Linked DNA regions of Diceros bicornis minor. The protein of the gene in region 1 interacts with the protein of each later gene in a pairwise test. Links are inferred from orthologs where the notes say so. Each region holds a gene or a part of one and is shown on either strand. Other genes may lie near its edges. The genes, in order: DDI1 and CYGB.

What was found.
Region 2: the proteins of DDI1 (region 1) and CYGB interact in binary tests that used the Homo sapiens proteins (3 or more experiments, as listed by UniProt). The two-hybrid records come from large-scale screens. The link is inferred for Diceros bicornis minor from reciprocal best matches to the Homo sapiens genes DDI1 and CYGB.

The regions. Positions count from the first base shown.
Region 1 is NC_080746.1:31,216,014-31,227,524, reverse strand, and holds DDI1 (protein DDI1 homolog 1), read left to right. Parts: upstream 1-8,046; coding exon 8,047-9,237; downstream 9,238-11,511. UniProt on the Homo sapiens protein: Probable aspartic protease. Seems to act as a proteasomal shuttle which links the proteasome and replication fork proteins like RTF2. Required, with DDI2, for cellular survival following replication stress.
Region 2 is NC_080757.1:56,812,536-56,825,255, reverse strand, and holds the start of CYGB (cytoglobin), read left to right. Parts: upstream 1-7,689; 5' UTR 7,690-7,818; coding exon 7,819-7,961; intron 7,962-12,720. Other genes in the region: photoreceptor disk component PRCD, read right to left, coding at 4,334-4,355, 4,718-4,786, 5,083-5,156. UniProt on the Homo sapiens protein: Probable multifunctional globin with a hexacoordinated heme iron required for the catalysis of various reactions depending on redox condition of the cell as well as oxygen availability.

The DNA.
Region 1 (11,511 bases):
TATAGAAAAATAAAAGACTCAAAAGCAGTTTTGTTAGGGTTGCCTGAGACATTGCTGTTCCATTTCACTTATAGTTTGTAAAGAAAAAAAAAAATCAATGATCCCATCTTCTTTCTCTTCAACATCAGAAATTAGGTCTCCGATTTTGAAAGCCAGGGTACATGGTTACTCTGATTAGTTCTTGTCCTCGGGAGGCCTCCAAAGAGAGACTACTCATGTTTTCTGAAGAAGCAGCACTGAAATATTTTATCAATACATGAGTAAACAAGAGCATACCAGCAGTTAAGCACATTTTATGAGCTGAGTGAAACAGAACATTCGTAAGTGGAATGGAAATGATAAGGGAACAGAGGATGGGCATATGAGTTTCACATCTCTCAGAACAGAGAGATAGCCCATGGAGACATTAACACTCACAAACCATTCTAATAATAAGGAAAATGCTCTGGACCTGATGTCATTTAGATGGTCTAAGGAACAATTCTCCTAGTATCTAGGCTACTAAATTTGATTTGTCTGAGAAAATTAGAAGGTGAGTTGATTTCTTTTATTTTCTATTTTTTAAAAATGAAGATTTTGTTTATCAGGCCTTGTTTCTCATTTTCATGGTTGGAATACAATTAAATTCTATAGACAGATGGGCTTTAGCCATGCTAATTACCATGGCGATCAATTCACTCAGCTGCTGTTTAGAATGGAGAATGCTACATCAACAACAATCTGGAAATTTTGTCTTTTACAGACAGTTGTAGAAACATCACCTATCATGCACATAATTCATGAAATATCCAATTGACCACGTTGGCATGGTACAATGGGCTTTTTTATTTATTTGAGATCTTTTCACTATTATCTCTGCCCTGTCAGGAAACTAACACACATCCGTGCTGCAAAGACAGTTGAACCCAAAGTGTCACCATAAATAAACTGATTGTCATGTAACTAGCTTTTAGGGGGGCTTGGCTAGTGGCTGGAGGCATCAGATCCTTCCGGTTTGGGCAAACTGCATGCTATTACCCTGTACCCTAGAGTTAGAAGTTTCACGTGTTAGAGGTGAATGTGCACAGATAATACGGAAATTGGCTACTTTCAGAAACTTTTGCCTTGTATCGTAGATACGTGTGTAGTTCCATCAACACCTACTTTCAAATTAAAGTATGATAGCCACTAATTATATACACTCATATTAAAAGCACTCACAAGGACTTTTGGAAGTTCCTGATGTAGCTTCTAGTCATTTTCTAATAAAATATCTCCACAGACTTGAGAGTAACATAAGCTAAGACTGATGGGCAATGTAATGTCAAAGTCTTGGAGGAATCTTCACTAACTCTAAAGCAGATGAAGGTGAACTGAGAAAAAGACCTATGCAGATTTCAATTCGTATTGCATAGGCTTTCCCTCATGAAACAAAGACTGCTTCTTAACTCAACTAGTCAGGCTCTGTAGCAGAAAGAATCACGTGCATTCATTCTGTTTGAGTCTGTGTGGGTGCCTGTGTGAATTTGGGGGTTGAGAAGACTGCTTTTTAGGAAGGCTAGACTACTATTCTTTCCCTGCACCAATCCTACCATCCTACCGCGTGCATTTGGTTATAGCATCTGCAAGTTAAAAATGAAAAGTAAAATGTACGTTTGTGTGAGGAGAAAGGAGTTGAGTGAGTGTTATGATACGTCAAGGAAAGGATTGTTCCTCCAAACCCAGGTAGGTAAAATTTAACTACAGCTGTGACCAAATCATTCTTCCCGGCTCCATGCAGTGGCACTTCCTGTAGTGAGCATTCTGCACAGTCCCATCCACTCCCTGTACTCCCCTCCTCCAACAAGTTACTTTTATCTCTTCTAAGCAAGCACAGCATTTTCTTTACACATCTATCATGACTCTTATTTATTTCTGTTACATAAAATAATTCCAAGTGCACGAGTCTTATCTGCCCTGGTCAATATCTCGTTCTTTGAAGGAGGAAAGTGATTCCTATTCATCCTTCTGTCCCCGAGGCCCTTCATCCATTGACTTGCTCATAGGAAGTGGTCATTAAATATTTACCATGAAAAATTATTAACATGTTTCTGAGCTCATCTCCAAATGGTAAAAAACTTAACTAATTATAGAAATATTAAACAAGTCTATAACTTTCCAAATACATATACTTCTGGGCAATTAATGAAACCAAGCCAAGACACTTCCAAAGAATGATATTGCCCTCCACTGATTTCCCACTAGGAATGACAATATAGGAAGGACAAAGTGGAAAACCACAGAAATCACAAGTAAATTAGAACTAAATAAAACAAATACAAACAGTGGTTTCAAACCATAGCAGCATCTTCCTGGCAGCAGTGAGAAGGGACTCATGAAGACTAGGATTTCAGTGCTACTCTTTTATGTGGACTCTTGTCCAGTGGGTAGGTCTGTTGTTATTTTGCCATTCATTCAAACATTTTTGGTTATACATCATGATCAAGACCCTGTGTTAGGAAATTTGGAGGTTTCAAGGTTGAATATGATAAGGCATCTGACATCAAAAAAAACTAATGGAGGAAAAATCTCATGCAAATAGTTTTAATGAAATAAAGATATTATTTCTAAAACAAAAGTATAAGAAAGATTTAATAAAGGTGCTGACTTGCAAACCTCCTTGCATCGTCCTCTAGTTGATATTTTGGTCTAATATACATCATTGTTCTTGGAAGTTTAGGAATTATGCTCAGAAATATATGACTTTTCTACCAACTACCCTAGAAGAGATAGACACCTATAAGAGGTTTAAAAAGTAATACTTTGTTGATTGAATATTAATACCACCTGGAAAGAACCAGCTAATTTTCTCATTTTCAGAATAATATACAATTACCTAAATGTAATGATGAATTCATATAGAACAAGCATTAGTATTCTGACAAAGAAAATTTACGTTGAAGTTATTAAAGTGTAATTGAACTTATGCATAGGTCACATTGGTATTTCTAAACTAGTGGCAGTGATTTTGAAATGAGTTGATTACGTTACTATAAAAGAGTAAACAATAAAAAACGGTTTGAATAATGATCCTCAATCACAGTGGAATTTAAAACATAAGGCCCTATTATCATTACTATTACTATTTTGTGTTACATGGCTATTCTCCACATAACAGGAATGGGAAAATGAAAACATTCGTTTTCTAAGGGACACTGAAAATTAAGAACCAAGTAACTGACAACACACAAAGTCATAAATCGTTTTTATCTTGTTTTTAATTTATTACACTAAATTCATTTAATCTATAAATGTTTCTCTCACAAATTATAAGTAATCTCCAAAACTTCAACAGCAAGGTGTGTGTTTCACACATCAATTTTTATATGATTCGGACATTGGAAGGGCCCATAAGGCACAAAACTGTAGCAGCAAACATTCTTAAAAATAAGCAAATACACACACATGTATATTTAGACTTGGAATATTAGACTTACATATTTTGAAAAAGCCAAAAGTTATCAAGAGATTATACACGTGAATGTATAACCCACGTATGTACAGACTTGGAAAGTATATATTTTGAAAACACCAAAAGATATCAAGAGATTATGTTATTTCCAACACGCCATATATAACGTAAAATGCATCTCTTTTTATGATAAAATGTTAAAACGATAATCTATAAATTAAAGCAATAAACAAAATGCACCATAAAAATATTCCCTGCTGGAAAATGACATAATCTTTTCATTGCACTTTCAAAGTAATTGAAAACATGTCCTGAGTGTGCACTTGCTCGCTCTCTCTCTCCACATGTGAGTGCATGCGTGTGTGTGCATATGGGTCTTCTGTCCATATTCTGTCTCCTTAAGACGAAGAAAAACGGCTAGCTGAGTTGTCAGCAGGTAGATACAGACTAAATTCTCAGGTCTCATAAGCTTCTTCAATTACACATCTGTTTATATATTTGTATGAGAGGTCTTATCATGGCCTTTACGCTTCAAAGACGGGCAATACTAAACCTTTTCATATGGGAAACCTCTAAACATACTAAAAAAGCTTGAACTTTCATTAGAGCATTTTTAATGTGTCTATTAAATAATTAACTATCTGAAGAAATAAATGTTTATTCATTCATGACAGTTCTGGCACAATTTATCATATTTTTATAAAGCAAATGGAAGAACAGTGAGAAAATTAGTTGTTTAATCTATGAACACAGCTTTAAAAAGTCTGCATCTTTCCTAAGCTGCATTGAAAAATATCAAATGATGATTTAAGTATCTTAATAAGTCTCGATTACACTTTATTTTAAACGTAATACCAGGCACATTAGGAAGGAATCCAAACACAGCAAGCTAATATATTTGCTTAATGTGGTTTAATTATTGTATATGCTACATAATGACATCTATGTAGCTACTCTTTTTTCACAGAAAAGCCATTTATTTTGCTCTGTAAAGCAAGAGACAGTATTTTAAACAACAACTGACTATACTAAGTGGGATCATCAATTATATGGATTATTTTTTGCCCCAGTGAGTTTTTATAAAGAGGCAAATTATAAAAACTATTATTGTGGGTTTATTCTAAAAATAACTTTGGGGTTATTTACTTGGCCAGTATGAAATCAATGTCATCTTTTCTATTTTCTGGGTATTTAGGCTATACAATAGAATTGATTTTCTGAGTGATAGCCCTGAGACCTTGCAAGAGTCTCACTTATCAAAGAAAGATTCAATTACGTTCCTATTTTGTACTTACCAAGGAAGAAAAGTAAGGGAATATACTTCACAAAAAACTCAAGAAAAGTTGCAATCACCTTCTGTTACCTAGATTAGCACACCTAGATAATTCTCAGTGGTCTGTGCAGTAAGGAATAATGGCGTAACAACATTTTATATTTAAGAGTATTTATATATGCTCCCAATGAGCCCCAAGTTTATTACATAATCAGAAGAGGTTTTTAATTAAAATATTGAGGTAAGAGAATTACACATATGGTATTTGAATCACCAATAGTCTTAGGTAAAATGAAAGACTCAAACAATATATGAACATTTGTACTAAACAGTCCCAGGAGGCTGTGTTTATCTTTTCAGATTCCAGGCTGTTTCGCAACAGAGGTTTAAGGCGTGGGTGGATGGCTAGACCAGAGAATCCGAAGGACCCCTGCCAATCCTCACATCCTGTGATCTATAGCACCATGACAGTTAATTGGCCAAACTTGGAGGCTTTTTGCTTTCTATGTTCTCAGTAAAGTATAAAATAGTTAAAAGCACATAAATGCAAAATGCCACCAAAAGTAAAGATTTATAGCAAGATAATAAAACATACCACATAAAGCTTAATTATGTTCAGTATCAAGGCAACGGTAATACACAAAAAAAGAGGTTAGTTTCTTTTGATGTGAGCCTTGAATTCTTGCTTTGCCAAAAAAAAAAAAAAAGCTTATTCTACAAAAATAATTTCATCCACTGTTTAAAAAAAACAAAAACCCTAGTATATCTCCCTAATTTATTAAGATTGTAAGAACGAACTGTCCAGAGCTACTTGGGGGAGTGGGGGAAGGAAGATAAATGTAAGCCTCCCTGGCTTCTCATCTATTCTTTAGCAGAGTAGTTTGCATGTGACATGTCTCACATTATAGTTTTTCCCAAACTCAGGAAAAACCATTATTGATCTCTGATGAACTCACCAGGATGCTAAGAACCACAAAAGAAATTTATTAACTTAATATTTTGGGGTCAAAGTGCCATCCATCTCTATAAATAGTAAAAAACAGCTCTAAATAATTCATAATTCTTTACAGTAAAACTACAATGCTACATTTTTTCCCCTAAAATTTTATAAGGTCCTCCATATCATGACATGCTGCCTTTCCAGTTAAAGACTCTCAACTAGGCTATCCTCTTCTCAGCCTTTGTTTCTTCACCCACTCACCCCCACACGGCTGACTTCTTGTCATCTTTTTAAGCCCAACTCTTTTAGGAAGCCCTCCCTGCCCTCCAGCCCTCTCCATCTTCTTTTGTTCTTCAGACATTTCTCCCAAATTGTGTTGGCTTCTGTGGAATTTTTTAACCCCCAATTCGTGTGTGTGTGTGTGTGTGCACGCAGGTGTGTGTGTGTCCTTTTAGACTGTGAGCTCCTTTAAGAACACAGCCTGTACTTAACATTATTCCTGTGTGTATCCCCAGAACATAGTACATGTCTCACACACACTGGGCATTCAGTCAATATTTTCAATATAAATGAACACGGTATGGAAACATTATGATAATTACAGCAATGAGTGAGATATGGTCTTCCATCTGAGACAAACACATGAGAACCAGGAGCCAAAAAAAAAAAAAAATTCTTTAGGCTAATGCAACACCCTTCTCTAAGTAATGGTGCAGGTCTTCTGACAAAACTTGAAATAAAGAGAGGGGATGAGGCAGAGGAGGTTGACTATCTTGGTTCATATGAAAATATGCCTGGGAAGACCAAGCCAGGGAACCGTGAGCTCTTTACAGTGCGTAACACTTGGTGAAATATAAACAACTGGCACTCAAGGATTTCTACCCAGTCACCATCTGCCCTGAAGGACCTCTTTACACTTACTTGGCAAGTCTCCACTCTGAAGTGTGTGTGTGTGTGTGTGTGTTTGTGTCTGTGTGTGTGTGTGTGTGTGTGTGTGAGGGGCTGTGCCCTAGGGCTAGAGAGCGAGGCATATCTGGTCTCCAGGGTGGCATTCATCATACATTTTACTACAGAACTAATGTCAAATTGGTCTCCTCAAAGGTTCATCTCACACATCCATGTAAGGTAATGGCTTATTTTTAACCAATCTCTCATTTTAGAGACTCGCTGTGTTATCCACACATTCTGCTTCTTTTATACTCCCCACATCCAATGGGTAAACACATCCTTTCCATTCTACTCAAGAAACATTTTTCTTCTCTACTGGTTTGGCTTTAGTCTTCCTTATATTTTCAAATTCTAGCAACAGCTCCCTCTTTGAGCCATTGAGAAAGTCTCTACCTGTCTCTCCTGCCACTATATGTCCTCCATATGTCTCAAGAAGCATCTTCCTTAAATCAATTAAATGAAAAAAATAAACATTACAAGTACCTGCTTTAAATCTTTGCCATTTCCTTTCCTTTCTCTTTTTCTTCTCTCCTTTTTTTTTTTTTGAGAAGGGATTTTTGCTTATTGATAATATTTAAATTCCTTGGATTCATATTACTCTTTCTATAAACTGGCTCCAATCAATTTTTCCAGCTTCATATCTTGCCAATCAAATTCATGTACAAATTTCTCCTGTTCCATTGAATGTCTCACTTTTCTCTGGAAATAATAGCCTGTGTCATGAATTCTTGCTTTTGTACATGCAGTTCTTTTTGTCTGGGGTGACTCATCATTTTTCACAGAAAATGCTCATTTGTCAACATCCACTGTGTCTCCTCTTTAGAGAAACGTCCTCTGTTCTGTTGTTTCGCTTAACGTGTCTTTGTAAAAGCACTTACCTCCAGTATTGTGATTTACCCATTTACCATCGGTCCCTCCCTAGAATGTGAGCTCCTCAAGGGTAGGCACCCAGTCTGCCCCATCTTTCATACCAAGCACATAGCATGATAATTGCCATCTAGGAAACAACACTCACTGTTTGGAGAGTAAGTAAAAGTATGTAGGATACCATTCTCAAATGAACAAAATGAATGTTAATATGTTGTTTAGGAAGAGTTGAAATCATCCTTTTCATATGACAGGTTAAATAGGTTTTGAAGGGCTAGCCTTGGAACCTAAAGGACTCGAGTAACTTCGTTTCTATGGGACTGGGCGTTCTAAGTTCCAAACAGCACACATACAAATTAACTTTGGAACACAACATGTTACCTCAAGGTTCCACAGGGCCAGGCAGCAGGCACTGAGGCTGGCAAGCGGCCCCCAGACTGGTGAGCGGCTGTGCTTCCTGGAGAGGTGAATGAACCACAACAAGGCACCAAGTGTTGAGGAGCAACTGAGCCATCAATAAAGACCAGCTCCAGTCAGCCAGTGAAGAATCCATGCCCTCTGCCCATCTGGCCCTCCTAAGCCCATGCCATGCTGGTCACTGTGTACTGCGTGCGGAGGGACCTCTCCGAGGTAACCTTCTCCCTCCAGGTCAGCCCTGACTTGGAGCTCCACAGCTTCCGCGTCCTCTGTGAGCTCGAGTCTGGTGTCCCCGCTGAAGAGATCCAGATCATCTACATGGAGCGACTCCTCGCTGACGACCACTGTTCCCTGGGCTCCTATGGCCTCAAAGATGGCGATGTCGTTGTTTTGCTTCAGAAGGAGTATGTGGGACCTCGGCCTTGTGGACGGACATCAAGCCTGCCTCGGATTGATTTCACCGGGATAGCTGAGCCTGGGACGTCCAGCTCCCGGCAGCAGCACCAGCGTGCACAGTCGGCCCAGAAGTCCCCTGGCCTGGACTCCGGAGAGAAGATGTCTGCTCAAGGTCTGGACAGCCCCACCCTGATCCGAAGCATGCTGCTCTCCAATCCCCACGATCTGTCCCTGCTGAAGGAACGCAACCCCCCCTTAGCGGAAGCCCTGCTCAGCGGAAACCTGGAGACGTTTTCTCAGGTCCTGATGGAGCAGCAAAGGGAAAGGGCCCTGAGAGAGCAAGAGAGGCTTCGCCTCTGTTCTGCTGACCCATTTGATTTGGAAGCTCAGGCCAAAATAGAAGAGGAAATCCGGCAGCAGAACATTGAGGAAAACATGAATATAGCGATGGAAGAGGCTCCAGAGAGTTTCGGGCAAGTGGCCATGCTCTATATTAACTGCAAAGTGAATGGACATCCTTTGAAGGCTTTTGTTGACTCGGGGGCCCAGATGACCATTATGAGCCAAGCTTGCGCCGAGAGATGTAATATAATACGCCTGGTGGATCGACGGTGGGCTGGGATTGCTAAAGGAGTAGGCACGCAGAGGATTATTGGCCGAGTTCATCTAGCTCAGATTCAAATCGAAGGTGATTTCTTACAATGCTCTTTCTCTATCCTCGAGGATCAGCCCATGGACATGCTTCTAGGGCTAGACATGCTCAGGAGACATCAATGTTCCATTGACTTGAAGAAAAACGTGTTGGTGATCGGCACCACTGGCACACAGACTCACTTTCTTCCTGAGGGAGAGTTACCCCTATGTGCTAAGCTGCTAAGTGGTGCTAGGCAAGAAGAGTCTTCAAATAAAGAAGCAGCAGATACTATTAAACATTCAGTCATGGATTCAGGAAGAAAAAAGCATTGAGACAGGTTATAAACATACCACCACTTTGAGGGAGTCTCAGGTCCCAGGAAATTATAAGACATGAGCTCACTGGCAATGTAATCATTAAAAACATCAGTAACAAGTAACCTGGCCTTGGGTCTAAGTTCTCAGATCTGTCACTATGTCAATCGAGATTGCTTGATCTTGGCCCCTCTTCCATTCCCCTTACCCAAAGATCATTGAACCTCATCTTGGGAAGGCTCTGGAGGCTCCAACTGATTTCCAGATAATCCATGAAAGGAAAAGCAGCCTCTTCCTTTAGAAACACTGTCCTATCAGATTATAGGGTGGCTTGCCCAAACCAGTTGCTATTTTGCAGAATTCCCCAGAAAAAGCCGTTGCTGCAGACCCTACAAGACATCTACACAAAACAGTTTCAAGTCAGCACTAACATTTATATTCAGAGAAATGTGTCTATTTTCACAGATTTTGTTTTCTTTGGGAAAAGTACTAAAAATGGTGGGTCAATTATACTCTTGAATTGATTAATGCAGTACTTATAAATGTCTGTTTTCGACATCTTAAGGGCCAATTTCCTCATATTTTAGATCTTTCCTTCCCCTGCACTCCTCTGGAGTCATGCTCACTGCAATCTGCCCCTAAAAACTATTTTTGCCGTATTTGAGAAAATGGATTTTTCTCCTAGTATGTCCTAAAATAATTTCCTCTTTCTCTTGCATTCAAAGAAATCCTGGTTGTAAAACGAAGGCAGTCAAGTAGATTTTTTTCTTTAAATTATGGTGCTTCTTGAAAGCCTCGTGGTTGTATTGTGGTGGGAGTGGGAAGAAGGGGCAGGCAGTGGTCCAGGTCCCCCAATACTCATTTCAACTAGATCATCTCCTTTTTTTGAAAAAAAAGAAAAAAATCTGCTTTATATATTAAGCTGCTACATAAATATTGTTTGAACAGAGGGTTTCACTGTTAAAATAACATTGGAAACTTCTCCAAGAGAAGATCTCTAAGGCCTCATTCATGCCTTAGAGACCCACTCCAACAAAGCTACTCTCCATTACTACTGATAGTGTGAAATAGAAGATCCTAGACTTAATTACAACCTATGTAAAACACCTGAGACAAAAGGTCCAGCTGCCTGAGGAAATCAGAGTCAGAGAACATGTTTCAGGGCAATAATCTGTCAAGACTGGTATTAGAAAGAACAGTAGATTCAAAGTCAAGAAATGTATGTTCTGATTCTAGCTCTAAATTACTTAGGCAAATCAGTTCATATATTATACAACTTAGATTTCTCATCTATAAATTGTTTCAGAGGGGAGAGCTATTTTCAGCTACTAAGACTACATTGTGATCTAGGATATCCCACAGAAAAAAGAAAAAATCCTCCCCTATAATCACCATATCCCTTTCTTGGTCTGCTTCTTGGAGAGACTAATCATCTTCTTTCTAAAGAGAGTCACCTCTTCCCCTCCAGCCATCATCAGTTCACCTCCCAATTCTCTTCTTCCTTACAGGTGTTCCTATGCTTGCATTCCTCAACCTTGTCTACACTTGCACCAAGGCTTACACCCAGTAGAGCTGCTATAAATGACCAATGGACAGACCTCTTTTCCACTTTTCTTTCTAATTAAGTACTCAGGACAAATGTAGTTAACAAAATGAAAGAAGAAATTCAGACTAAAGCCAGGGAAAAGCAATTAAATGCCTGGGATTAGAGAACTGACTGATAAATGCATGGATTCCTTCACAGATAAAAATATGCAAACTCCTCAGCATCTTCTACTGGACTCAATTTTAAGGCCCATTTATGCAAAACACATCTTATTTGCATATGTCACATAAAAGTTTAGTATGTGGCTTAACAAGATATCTAACCCATAAAAGCCACTCTAAAAATCACTGAATCTTTAAACTAAAAGACAATTTGCACAATATCAAATCTGACCATACACACTCTCCCGTCTCAGAAGAACATCTGTTCTAAGGTAGCTATAATGTTTTAAGACCAGTCTCAGGTATAACTCTTTTTTCTTATTTTGAGCTGAACTCTATTATTCCATAACTTCCAATAAATGTCTTCACTCTTCCTTCCGCCAAGAACACGTTTAATTTCTCTGGCATGAGTCAATCCTTTTAATATATGAAATCGATGTCATCTTAAATATTCTCTTTTATAGGCTTTAACCAAATTCTTTAACTGTTCCTCATAGGATAAGTTTGGAATCACCTAAAAATTTCTGTCATATTCCTTTGGACATATTCCAGCTTATAAAAATATTACTTGAGTGAAAAGCTTGG
Region 2 (12,720 bases), on another chromosome or scaffold:
TGCTGCAAAGGGGTGTCACTTTGTGGATGTGTGTCTGGGCTGTGAGCCAGCCCCAGTACAGCTAGGTGACCTTGGCCTGACTATTCCTCAGACCAGTGGAAGGAGACAGGCAACTTGGAAATGGCAGAGAGCAGAGGCAAGGATGAAGTGACAGGAACATGGCAAATAGATTAGAGAATGAATGCAAAGATAAGATCAGGGGACAGAGACTGGGTCTCGGGAACAGTGCCCTCTGGCCCTCAGCCTGACAGTCCTGTCACCACGAAGGCCCACGCCTCCCGGAAGAAAGACAGACTGACGGGAGCTGAGACAGGTGGTCACAAACTCATGGCCCATGTCAAGTAGGCAATGGGGCTTGGACATGGTTCCAGCACAGAGCTCCTTCCCCTGGTGCGACCCTTCCCCTGCCTCCGCCCTGCCCTACTTTGAGAGGCTCCCACGGAACTGCCAGGCTCCCTGCGGGATCAGCAGCCCCTCCCCATGGCTTCAGAGTGGGTTCCCTCGATCTGCATCTCACCCTTTCCTTCCTTCCCTCAGACGTGGAGTGGTGGCTGAGGTGCTGCTGTCTAGAGAATTCCTCCATCTCCTGCTTCCTGAAAGTCAGGGGCAGGGGCCAGCCAGGCAGAGACCTCGCCGCTGAGTGGGTAGAGCGGGCTGGAAGGGGAGGAGAGATGCACGCGCATGTGGGGATGAGGGCTCTGGAAGATGAATGACTGTGAGACAGTCAGGAGCAGCTGCCTGCAGGGTCTGCGCCTGGATCTCAGGGAGCAGAAGCGGAAATCTGCTTTTATCTCTGCTCAGGATCGGGCAGGATTGTAAAGAGAGAGAAATGGCAGAGCAGCTGGGGGCAAAAGAGGCTGCGCCGCCACCGCCACCGTTACTGAGCAGTCAGCAGACTGACAAAAACAAGCGTCATGCTTTTTCCCTTCCCACATGCTACTGCCTATTTGGAACACACGCACGCACGCACATACACACAGAAAACACAGGACAAGCTGTGGGTTGCTTCCATCCAGCCGCAGGCAGACATGTCACAGATCCAACTGGCATTTCTTATTGATAATTTCAGCAGAGCAGCCAGTGACAGAGTGAGCTCTGGGGACGAGGGTGGGGGAGGTAGATGCCACAGGAAGTGTGTGCCAGCATGGCAAGCGGTCTGACTCCACACTGCCCGGACCACAGCTGAGGTTTAACAGTACAGCTCCTGAGCTGTCAGAGACAGGCGGCCAAGCCAGTGAAACCCCTTCTCTCACCTGCAAACTTCCAGGTGGTTTCAGGGTAAGAACAAGGGCTCTGCAGCCTCCATATGAGCCTGGGGTCCCCCACTTACTAGCTACGTGACGCTGGGCAAGTTAGTTAACCTCTGTCTCTGTTTCTCCTTTCTAAAATGTGGGTAATATGCCCCGTCTCTGGGGTTATTGTGAGGATTAAATTAGAGAATGAATGGGAAGTCCCTCCTTAGTCAACATGAGCTGCCCCTCGATTCTGGAGTCCCCTCACCCAGGTTTGTTCCTACCCCAGCCTGGCTGATGGGCTGCCCCAGAGTTAACCAGGTGCACCCCACCGAGTCCCTCTCTCTGGGCCTGCCTCAGATGAGCCTCAAGAACTCAGAGGATGGCAGCCCATCCCAGAGCAATGAGCATCTCTGCCCCTCCTGGCCAGGCCTTGCCTCAGGAGCCCCACAGCCAGGGCTTGGGGAGAAGTGAGGACTGGCAGGTCCAGGGGCTGAGGTTAGGAAAGTACCTTCTCGATTGCTGCTTTTCCCATTCTCCCTCTTGCTGCTGCCTCTTCCACCACAGCATCTTTCTGGGATAGGGGGAAAACTAGTACTTGAGCTGAAACAGAAAACCAGACCAGATCGGCACTTTCTCCCATGCCAAGGTAGGGGCTGGTATTGCAGAGTGGACATTCCAGAACACCACCTCTCCTTTGGAAGTCTTCTAGCACTGCCTCGGGCCCCCAGAATGACCACCACTTCATCCCCAAGTCTAGAAAATGCTATAAAGATCACACGTGGTGCTCCTAAAACTCACCCTGGTCCTGAGGCCTGGAACAGAACAGGCTCAAGGCAGGAGCTCATGGAAGGAGTCCACCTCCCTCTCCTAACCTCTGTCCATGACCACAGAGCTGAAGACAGCCTGCTTTGCTCCCACGTGGCCAGGCCTTGCATATTCTTCCTTCTTTGTCCCCAGCTCTGCCCTCTGCCCTCCAGGGCTCACGGCCTGGCCCTACCTGCCTTGGCCAGCTGATTCCCATCTTTGGGCTGAGCTCCGCCTGAAGAGGTGACGGCTTATTTCAGAGTGTCTTTCTCCCTAAACAGAGAAATGCACAAGAGTCAGAGGATTGGAGGGGATGACCTTCCTGTATTTCCGGACTTCTTCCTCCCACCCCATGCCTAGCAGTTCACCCCACTACTGACAGGCAGGAACACCCAAGAAACCATACAGTTGGAATTTCTGACTGTGGAATTAGCAGAATTTTCACCCCTACCCCCACCCTGGGCCAGCCTTCCGTGGCAGCCGCCATCAGCAGGAGATGTGAGATGTTAGGCCAGTTCTTTGGGTTAACTGGGTTCCAAGGAGTTAATAGGCATCTGCTTCCTTCTGGCTAGGCCATACCAGGCCAGGCCTGGCCAGATGGTCCCAGATTCGGCCTTTCCTCTCCTGACAGGAGGTCCAGGCCCATTTCACCTAGAGGAGATGGACTGCCTGGAATCAGGGGCCTGTCAGTCCCATAACAGCCACAAACCGGATGGATGACCTTGAGCAAGAAATTTACGTCTCCCTGTCCCTCAGTATCCTCCACCATTAATAAGAGATAGAAACACTTGTCCTGGGGCCAGCCCCATGGCTTAGCGGTTAAGTGCTCTCTTAGCGGTTAAGTGCTCGCAATCCCTACTGGCGGCCCGGGTTCAGATCCTGGGCGCACACCGACGCACCGCTTGTCCGGCCATGCTGAGGCAGCGTCCCACACAGCAACTAGAAGGATATGCAACTATGACATACAACTATCTACTGGGGCTTTGGGGAGAAACAGGGAAAAAAAGGAGGAGGATTGGCAATAGATGTTAGCTCAGGGCCGGTCTTCCTCAGCAAAATGAGGAGGATTGGCGTGGATGTTAGCTCAGGGCTGATCTTCCTCACAAAAAAAAACAAAGAAACACTTATCCTGCCAACCTTCTGAGGCTATTGCGACTTCCCAGTGAGTTAATATATGAGAAACATCTGGGGGTGAATAAAGACTGATCATGTGTCAGATTCCAACGGGAGAACTCGCCTGCACTGAGCAGTTGCTCTGTGCCCAGTGCTTACAACCATTCTCTCATTTAAACCTCACAGACACCTCACAACCACTCTATTATTAATCCCAGTTTAATACAAGTAAATAGATTACATGATTTGCCCCAAGTCTCTCAGTTAGTAAGAGGGGAGCCAGGATTTAAACACTGGCTGCCCAACTCTAGATCCAAACTCAACAGTGAGGACCAGTGAGCATTTGAGGGCCTCCTCTGTGGGAGGCCTAGTGATGATCATTTTGTATATGCCAGCCCATTTCACCAATAGTAGTCATTAGGCACTTTTGTGACCATCTCAGCTAGCCTAAATGTGGAGGAAGGGCATGACAGAAATGCCTCTGTTCCCCGCACATGCCCACCGCTTCCCCGTGGGCCTTCTGACATTCGGAACCTGGTGGACCCCGGACTTGGCCCCTGAGAAATCAGGGGCCAAGACACAGAGAAAGCCTCAGCTTCTCTCAGCTCACCAGGTCTCCACATAGCTAAGGGCCATATCGCAGGCAGGTTCCACACCCTGAAAGAGACATGGGAGTGCACGGGCATGCATGCATGCTGACTGTCTCAGCCTTCTGAGCCCGGAGACACCCTCCTTCCAGGGGCCCTGCAGCCCGAGGGTGTCACACTCTGTTTCACTAGGAGCGAGAGAAGCAGTGCCAGGGGACTAGTAGACGCTCCCACAGGAGAGAATGTCACTCTTCAGATAGGGCTCCGGCAGTAGGTGGGTCCGTAGGCACAAAAGAACATTTCAAACAGTATGTTCTTAATAAATATTTGTTGATTTTTCAGTGTTTTTTGAGGCATAAGAGCCCCTATCATCAAAGGACACTGGTCATCCAGGGAAAGAAAAGTCTGGAAGTTCCCAAAACTTCACCCCTTGTAAAGGCCACATGGCTTCAGCCTAGGGAAGAGTTAACTTTCTGGCTGCTGGAGACAGTGTCCTGCCCCAGGGGCTGCCCAGCCAATGGCGCTCAGAGCCGATGATGTCATGCTCCTCCTGCGCCTCCTATTGGGGACTGGACAGCGAATCCCGCTGGAGGCTCAGGCAGTGGAGCCGCTGAGGCTGGGCGGAGACAGCGAGAGAGGGACGGGGGAGGGAAGGCGAGCAAAGCAACGCTGAGCTGCGTCTGCCTCATCCCTCTCTCCACTGCCCCTGCACCTTCTGACAGAAGGAACCTTGGGGACCACCCTGCACCTGGACAAGCAAAGCAGAGCAGCTTTGGTCCAGAGAGGCTGGGGGCTCCCATTCCCAACTGGAGAACACAGTCAGCCTGCCCACCAGGCATACAGGGAACAGCGTGGCTGGGGCGAGGGCTAGCATACAGCACACACACACCCCTGCTCATCACGGACAGGGCCAGGGGACAGCGGCAGCCTCTTTGGTAGCACCCTCCCTCCTCCACCCCAGACTCGCCTCTGCCTTACCTGCCTGAGGACTGGAGGTCTCTTTCCAAGCTGCTGCCCCTAACTGCCTCCTTCACTCCACTGGGCTCTCTGTGGGAGGGAAGAACAGGCAGGAAGAACTGTGGGCAGTGCCCAGACCCCAAATCCCCTCTCCTGCTTTTTGGCAAGACCTAGCCACATTGGGCTATGGGACTGGAGACTGCAGCCAGTGTCTTTGAAGAGCTCCAAGTTCCCCCTACTCTGTGGGGGAGCCCCTCAGGGATTCCTTGCAAATCCCTCCCAGCCTCCCTGGAGGTCCAGGCAGCGCCTGCCCACCTTCAGCTCTGCTGTAGCCCAGCCTAGTAGTTCTCCCCCAACCCCAGCCCATGGCCTAGTCAGTTTCTCACGGTTGGACCCGGTTGGCGAATCTGCGGCGCCAGAGCATGGCCAAGGTGCTAAGCAGGAAGAGGGTGGTGCACATGGCTCAGCTGCCCCATCCCCTCCCAGACCAAGTCTGCAGAAGAAGGCCAAAATGGCCCCTGCCAGCTCTCCCAAGCCACTACTGTGTGTCCTGAGGTTCCTGCTGGCAGTGGATTAGGAGGCTCAAGCTGATTAGTGGGGTCAGCAGACCTGACCTTGTGAAGACTGATTAACCTCACTGGGCCCAGGTTGTCCTCCTCTGTGGCAGGGTAAATCAACCTCAGTCTATTCTGGATGTAGATATGGCTAAGACCTGAGCCTGGCCCTTAGGGGGCTTATAGTCTAGACAAGTGCACTGGCAAGTTAAAGGGATGACCACAATAGAGTGACTGAGGCAATTAAAGGCACCTGCAGAGCACTTTGGGCATTGCAAGCATCAGCGGAACCTTCAAAGAGGAGCTGGGGGCATCTGAATTTGCAGCTGCTCAAAGGAGGCTGGGTGGTCAGACAGAAGACTCTGCCAGGGCTGCAGACAGCAGGGCATGTTCCAGCAACTGGAAGTTGAGTGGCAGCAGAGCAATGATGTCACAGGAGGCATGGGGGGTGGGGAGGAGGACAGGGGAAGAATATTAGCTGATGAAGCCAGAAAGACAAGGGAGGCCAGGGAGTAAAAGGATGGCTAAGTTCAGATCTATACTCTGGACATTTCTCTCCAAATGTTTCTGATTACACACCCTCTTCAGTAAAAGTCACTCATGAAATAGATATATGCATCCACTTGTAAATATGTACTGTACTAATGTGAAAATACAGTCCTGCACCATAGACATACATAAACCTGGTAAAGGATGAGATGAAAGTAAATAGAAATAAGATTTCTGCTACTTTCCACATCCCAGTGGAACCTCTTGGGCAGCAATTTGGAAGGCCACTGCACTGGCTTTGGGAAACTATCAGAGGAGTTTTGTGAAGTGGCCCAGCACGGTGTGTTCAGTCTTGGCCCAGGCGGCAATAGCAGCCGGGGACAAGCACGAGGACATGGGTCTGAGAGTGATGTAAGAAACTGAACCCACCCACTGTCCTCCATGCCCCCTCAAGACTCCCAGAAGAAGGCATTAGATTTTCCTGCCCTCAGCTAAGATGGAGGCAGTGTCAAGAGGCCTTCTGCCCAGGATTCCAGTAAGGAACCTGAACCCCGAGCTCCAGGGAGGGCCTGCGCTGGGGCTCTCTACTTTGAAATGTGATTTTTAAAATAAACACATAAACCAAAGCTGAAGAGGAGGGCCAACCTCTTGGAGAACTTGAGCAGAGGGACACAAAGTCTTGAGAAGGGCAGGGTCACCAGGGAGCCTTAGTGAGAACTGGACACACCCACATGTTCCAGATGCTGCAGCCCTGGTCCAGCATCAGGCTTCACTGGGAGGCAGAGGTGGCACTGGGCTTTCCCAGTACTGCGCAGCTGCTTGCAGAGCGGGAACCTTGTGGCTCTCAGAGGCATAGTCCCCACCTCTGGTCCTATCCCGCTGACACCTCTCTGAGCAGGGCCACTAGGACAAGAATTTGTCTCCTCCATCCCCAGAACCCCTCCCTAATCGGGGCCTTGGTGATTGAGATGTCTCCAGCGGCCTGGGCCTCCCCCAGACTTCTTGACCCTCCCAGGTCCGCTTTGCCCTGCCCGGCTGCCTCCTTTGGACTTTGCTTCACCAGGGCCAGAATTTCGGGGCAGCGCCTGTTTTTTGCCTGCCCGTGTCGTTAATAAGCCACCCGGGGACTTCTTTCCGACGCCATGTGCGTGCACCGAGCGGGAAGGGGTGCTGGCCGGAAGGAAAGGGGGGCGCAGGCCTCTGGCGCTCAAGTTCGACTCTCCCATCCTCTCAGCGGTGGGTTCTAGTAAGGTACTGGAACAGGGACACTCCAGGAGAGAGACGACCCCAGTCCTAAACTCTCCAGAGCCTGGGGTCCAGAACTCTGGGAGCGGCGCCGCGGCCCCCAGCGGCTGGCTCCGGGGAGACGGAGAGCGAGCGGGAGCTCCGCTCGGACCGCGGCGCCGCTGGAGGGGCTCGCGGCCGCCCCCTCGGGCGGGCGGCCACGCCGCAGATGCCTGGGAGTGTTTGACTTTGAGTCAGTTCCCCGCCGCGTGAAGGGTGCACACACGCACACGCCCCGACACTGCCCGCAGCGTGAGCCTGGACACGGTGCCCCCAGATTCGCACCCGCCGGGGCGCACTCCTGTGCGGCCCGCGCCGCCCCGCTCCGCGTGACAGCCCCCTCCTCCCGAGACCCCCCAGGACACCCGCCACACCTACGCCCCAGCCCCGCCCGGCGCTCAAACTCCGCGGTGGCCTTGCGGGTGGGCGGGCGCCAGCCGCGTCGCCCCCACCCCGCCCAGTCTTCACCTTGCCAGAATTGGCTCACGGACGCGGGGTTGGGGGTTTGGAGCGGATTTATTTTTTTTAACATTTTTCCAGCAGACCACATCCCCGCCCCCCGCTCGCGGTCCCCCGCCCCCCGGCACATATACCCTGCACACACACACACACACACACACACACACACACACACACACCCGGCGCGCACAGACAGACACGCTCCCTCCCTCCGGCGCGCTCTACCCCTCGCTCGCCCGCCCGCCCGCCGCGCACGCAGCCGGCCCCGGCTCCTCGCGCCCCGCGCTCCGCGCCCCGCCGCCGCCGAGCGAAGCCGGGCTGGGCTTGGAGCTGCTCATGGAGAAAGTGCCGGGCGAGATGGAGATTGAGCGCAGGGAGCGGAGCGAGGAGCTGTCCGAGGCGGAGAGGAAGGCGGTGCAGGCTACGTGGGCCCGGCTCTATGCCAACTGCGAGGACGTGGGGGTGGCCATCCTGGTAAGGTAGGTGTCGCCCCGGCTTAGCCGGGCCCGGGGGAGGGAGGGCGGCAGCGGCTCCGGGCAGGGGCGGGCTCGGCCCCATCCGAGCTCCGGCGCCACCTCCTCAGCTGTGATTGGGGCCGGGCTGGCAGGGGTGCAGGCAGCGTGGGGCGCCTTCGGGTGGGCGAAACCCTAGCTGAGCCCTTCCTAGCTCTGGGCGCGGGGCTCACCAGGAACTAGGAGCCAGACGCAAAAGGAAGGCACCTCCGTCCCCCTCCTCTCCTCGGCCTTAGAACTCTGAGCTCAGGCAGCCATGCCTTCCCCACCAGCGACCCCAGCCAAGCTGTTATGGACACACATTTTACCAGCCCTTCACATGGGGGCAGTGGGGGTTCCCCATTTTAGAGACAGGAAAACTGAGGCTCAGCCAAGAAGGCGGACAAAGAGGAGCAGACCCCTCTCTCCAGCTCAGCCTCTTTCCGTATTCAAAGCCCCTTGGAAGAACAGAGCAAAGGGGGAGAGAATGGAGGTCAGAAGGAGTAGATGGCTGAGGTCCAGTTTCCCACCTGGCCGCTTCCTGCCCCAAGGGGGTGGACCAGCAGGGTGCTCCCAAGCCGGGCACAGGTGAGTGGAGAAGCAAACAGTCCCTAGGATACAATCTGTGCTGAGTTTGGTGGAGGGAAAGGGAGATGCTTCAGGAGACAGGGCTCCACCCTGAAAGCCCCACCTGGAGACGAAAGGACATGTGTCTTGGGCTCAGGGGTCATTCAGGCACCAGATGCCCCCAAGAGACGCACACACACATTGTTATTCACACCTGCACACTGGTGCACGTATACCATTCCTATGTAGTTAATGTCACCAAGCCCCACAAGCTAGTAGCTGACTAGAGCTACAGATCCATGCTCTCTTCCCACACGTGCTGGTCCCTGGGGGTGCAGGCAGAGAGGCCCCAGACCACACTCACTCTCAACCCCTTGTCCTTGGTGGAGGGAAGCTGTCAAATCTAGGACAGAGCAGGGCAATCTTACTATCTGAAGACAGGGTGAAACCTCGCTTGTGGAAAGGACAGCTGAAGTGCATGCGTGTCTCCCAGGCCTGGCCCGTCTCTGGCTCCTCTTTCTCCCCGGTACTCTCTCTCCCTTTTACCCAGCTCCGTATTGATATGCCCTGATTCTAACTTAGAAACAGATTTTGGAGGAAAAAGAGCAAGAAGCAGTCTTGAGGATTTTGAGGAGGATTCCTGAGGAAGGGGCAGCTATTTCCACAGCTCCCAGGCCCAGAAACACAGCCAGGGATGATGGGGAAGCTAAGAGGGGATTTCAGATCCCGAAGCCATCAGACATTCGGAGACGCAGATCTGCACGTGCGAGCACCCACACAAGCTCACGGTGGGTAGTGGAGTCACGGATGCGCCAGACTGCATCCCTGGAGGGCTGTTCTCAGCTGTGTGTCGGCACACACGGGCCCACCAGGCCTCGGGATACACCAGGGTGCACACACAGGTCGCCAAGAGGAAATGAAGCAGAGTCCACAGACCTGGGAGATTTTCCGTCCCAACCCCTGTCGTTTGCCAATGAGGACATGTAGGGGATGTGTCCAAGATCCAGCTCCTGGGGCACCCCCCAACCTCCCCAGGAATGGGGGTTACAAAGGAAGGACCTGAACACCGAGGGCAGAGCCATTTCTGGAGAGTCTGAGCTTTCGGCAGGTTTTCCTTCTCTCTCTGTGCCCCTCTGGCTCCCCTTTCCTGACTCTTAGAAGGGGCTGGGTGTGGGCTGGGGGAGGCATTGGGCCTGAGATATCAATTAGATCTGGCTAGCTGATAACCTCACACTTCACCTGACCCCACCTCTGTGTTGGCCGAGCCCAGCCCAGCCCAGCGAGGGAGAACCCGGCCCACAGCTGCTTCTCCCTGCCAGCCCCAAGTCCCACCAGCCTTCCTTTCCTCTTTCTCCTCCTCCTGCTGTCTGTCCCAGGACCTGGCCAGTTGGGACGGGGGGTGTTAAAGCAGGGGTAAGGGAAGGACAGATAAGCTTCTCAGGTCCTCTGCCCCTCAGTTTTGTCACGACTCCCTCCTATCCTCACACACATCCACAAGGACAGGCCTGAGACACAAGCCCTCTGACTCTTACCTCCTCCCTCCCCGCTGGGCTCATGCCAGCCTCACCCCCCCCCACACACACACACAGTGAGGAGTTAGCAGCCACAACGGTGGTAGTGCTGGTGGAGGAGCTGCCTCTGGGTCTGAGCCAGACCCCACACCTCTACTTCCTGTCAGGGAGGAGACCGAGAGGGAACACCCATGCTGGAGGAAGGCTCCCTTCCCAGTTGTAACTCTGCTGCCTTCCCCCTCACACACAGACAAGCCTATTTCAGACTCTCCTGGAAGCCCACATGCCTCTGGGAGCTTAGGAACTCCAGGGCTGGCTGCTGAGGCTTCTCCCTGGCAACACAGGCCTGGCCTGGGAGGGTCAGGAGTAAACATGGAGGGGCTGGGAGAGAAGCCAGGATGAAAGAGCAGATCACATGGCCCCTAGACTCCCCTGGTCCAGAAGAGGGGCTTCCTGGGCCTGTCATTCCTCAGCACCATGACCCGGCACTGGTGTTGGGGCAGGAGACTCACTGGCGGGAAGCCGGCAGAGCAAGGACGGTCTGGGCTCCTTCCTGGCCCCACCACCTACTGTGCTAGGCAACCTTGGGCATCGACTCCTAATCCAGAATGCAGAGATAAAGCAGTGCCAACCTTAGGAGAGTATTGTGAGGATGAATGAGATCACATACTAAGTGCTCAGTAAGTATTCCCAGTTCTTCCCTCACCAGTACAATGGATATAGTACCTGCTTAGTCGTGGCAATTACATGAAATAACAGGTAGAGATGCTCTGCGCATTTTAACGCACCAGGCAAGTAGAAATCAGTATTTTTACTGCAGTGTAAAACCCCTGAAGTCTGAGATCCTCATTTAAGTCCAGATTGGGTTTCTCACATTTGTCCTTCATTACAGTGCTTCTCCAGAAAATCCAGTGTATTTTCAGACTCATCACCTCATTTGTCCTCACCAGTATACCTGTGAAATAGCGAGCGGGAGGGACTTCTCTCGCACTTCAGCAGACAGGAGGCTGTGAAGTGGTTTGCAGAGGAGGTCACACTGGGCCTCCTAGAGGGGCCCTCCCGGGTCTCCACACGCACTGTGTCCTGGTCGCACCCCCCTGCCAGCAACAGCTTCATCACCCAAAGGCATGGCCTGGGCCAGATGCTCTTTCTGCATCTGTTCCAGCTCTCAGATCTGAGACTCGAATGCTGGCCAAGGGGCTGTTTTGGCAAATTATCAGCTCTCTCTGGTATCACAAAGGGGGTCACTCCAAAGGTGTGAAACAACCTGAAAAAACAGGTCCAAGACACTTCATACATTTTCTGAGGCTTCAGTTAAGTTCGGTAAGTTCTGATTGAGTCTGTGTGGACCTTCCGTGACATCCAGCCCCGGCTGGGAGAGGGAGTGCAAATGTCATCAACGTCATCCTGCAGACTGCAGGGCCCTGGGCCGGGGTGATGGGTCAGAGGGTGCGGGGGCTCTGCTGGGTCTCACAACCAGTCCGACAGGCAGAAGGGGAGGAAGCAGTAAATGGTGGCAGGGAACCCACTAACGGCCTTCGAGGGAAAGCAGTAGCCCTGGGCCAGCTTGGGCGCTCAGGGAGAGGCAAGGCTGACACGGGGAAGAGTGAGGAAGGCATTCCACCATGTGGAAGGGAAGGCTGGCACGCCCGAGGAATGTTTTGCCAATGGTGAGTGAGGCTGTTGTGCTGGAGCGAGATGGGTTGAGTGTAGGGGAGAGTGTGGACCTGAGGTTGGAGAAGTGGGTGTGGGACAGTTTGTAAGAGGCCTGGACTCCCAGGTTCAGGAGTTTTGACTTTGACGTAGACAATGGGGAGCACCTGAATGTTCGTGAGAGAGTGACCTAATGAAAGTGATATTTTGGGGGAATTAGACAGTTTCAGATAAACTGGAGAGGGGAGGAGTAGAGCTAGAAAGACCAGGGTCTGCCCCAAGAAGTGCACAGACTTGTTCAAGAGGTGAGATATACAGTAGGTAAAATCAATCGAGATCTTTAATTAAATGAACCGCTCCATAGTTGCTGTGGGCTGAGGAGGGAAGCAGGGTAGTGAAGAGGGAAGAGACTGAGCTGGGAGAAGGACTGAGGCTCATTTCTTCCCTTCCTTGGCTGGGTGACCGTTACTTTGTTTCTAAAGAGAGCTCTAACTGTATCATAATAAAGGGCGGCATTTACTGAGCCGGCATGTCCACACTGTGCTGAGACCTCCACGTGCAGTTTTTCATTTACTCCTTGCAACAAGCCACAACGACTCACAACAAGATAGGAACAATGATGCCATTTCATGGATAGGAAACTGAGGCTCAGAAAAGTTAAATAACTTGCCCAAGGTCACACACCGCCACGCCCGGACCCCGTGATTCCAGAACTGACGCTCTTACCCTCTGGGCTGTGACTGGAGCAGGGCTTGAAGGGTGTGTCCGGCTTGGAAAGGAGGCAAGAAGCAAGGAAGGCAGAGGCCTGGGAGACAAAGCTGCCAGCCTGAGCAAGTCTGGCGGATAGAAAGGGCTGGGACCTGGGGAGGGGGCTGTTGTAAGCCAGCTTGGCCAGAAGGAGGGTCTGCATTTGAGGGACAGTTACACAAGGTGGTGAAAACAATTATTGGGTTGTGGGGGTGGGGCTGGGTCCTGCCTCTCCCACCTCCGAACCCCCTATCGTCCTGGCCACTTCA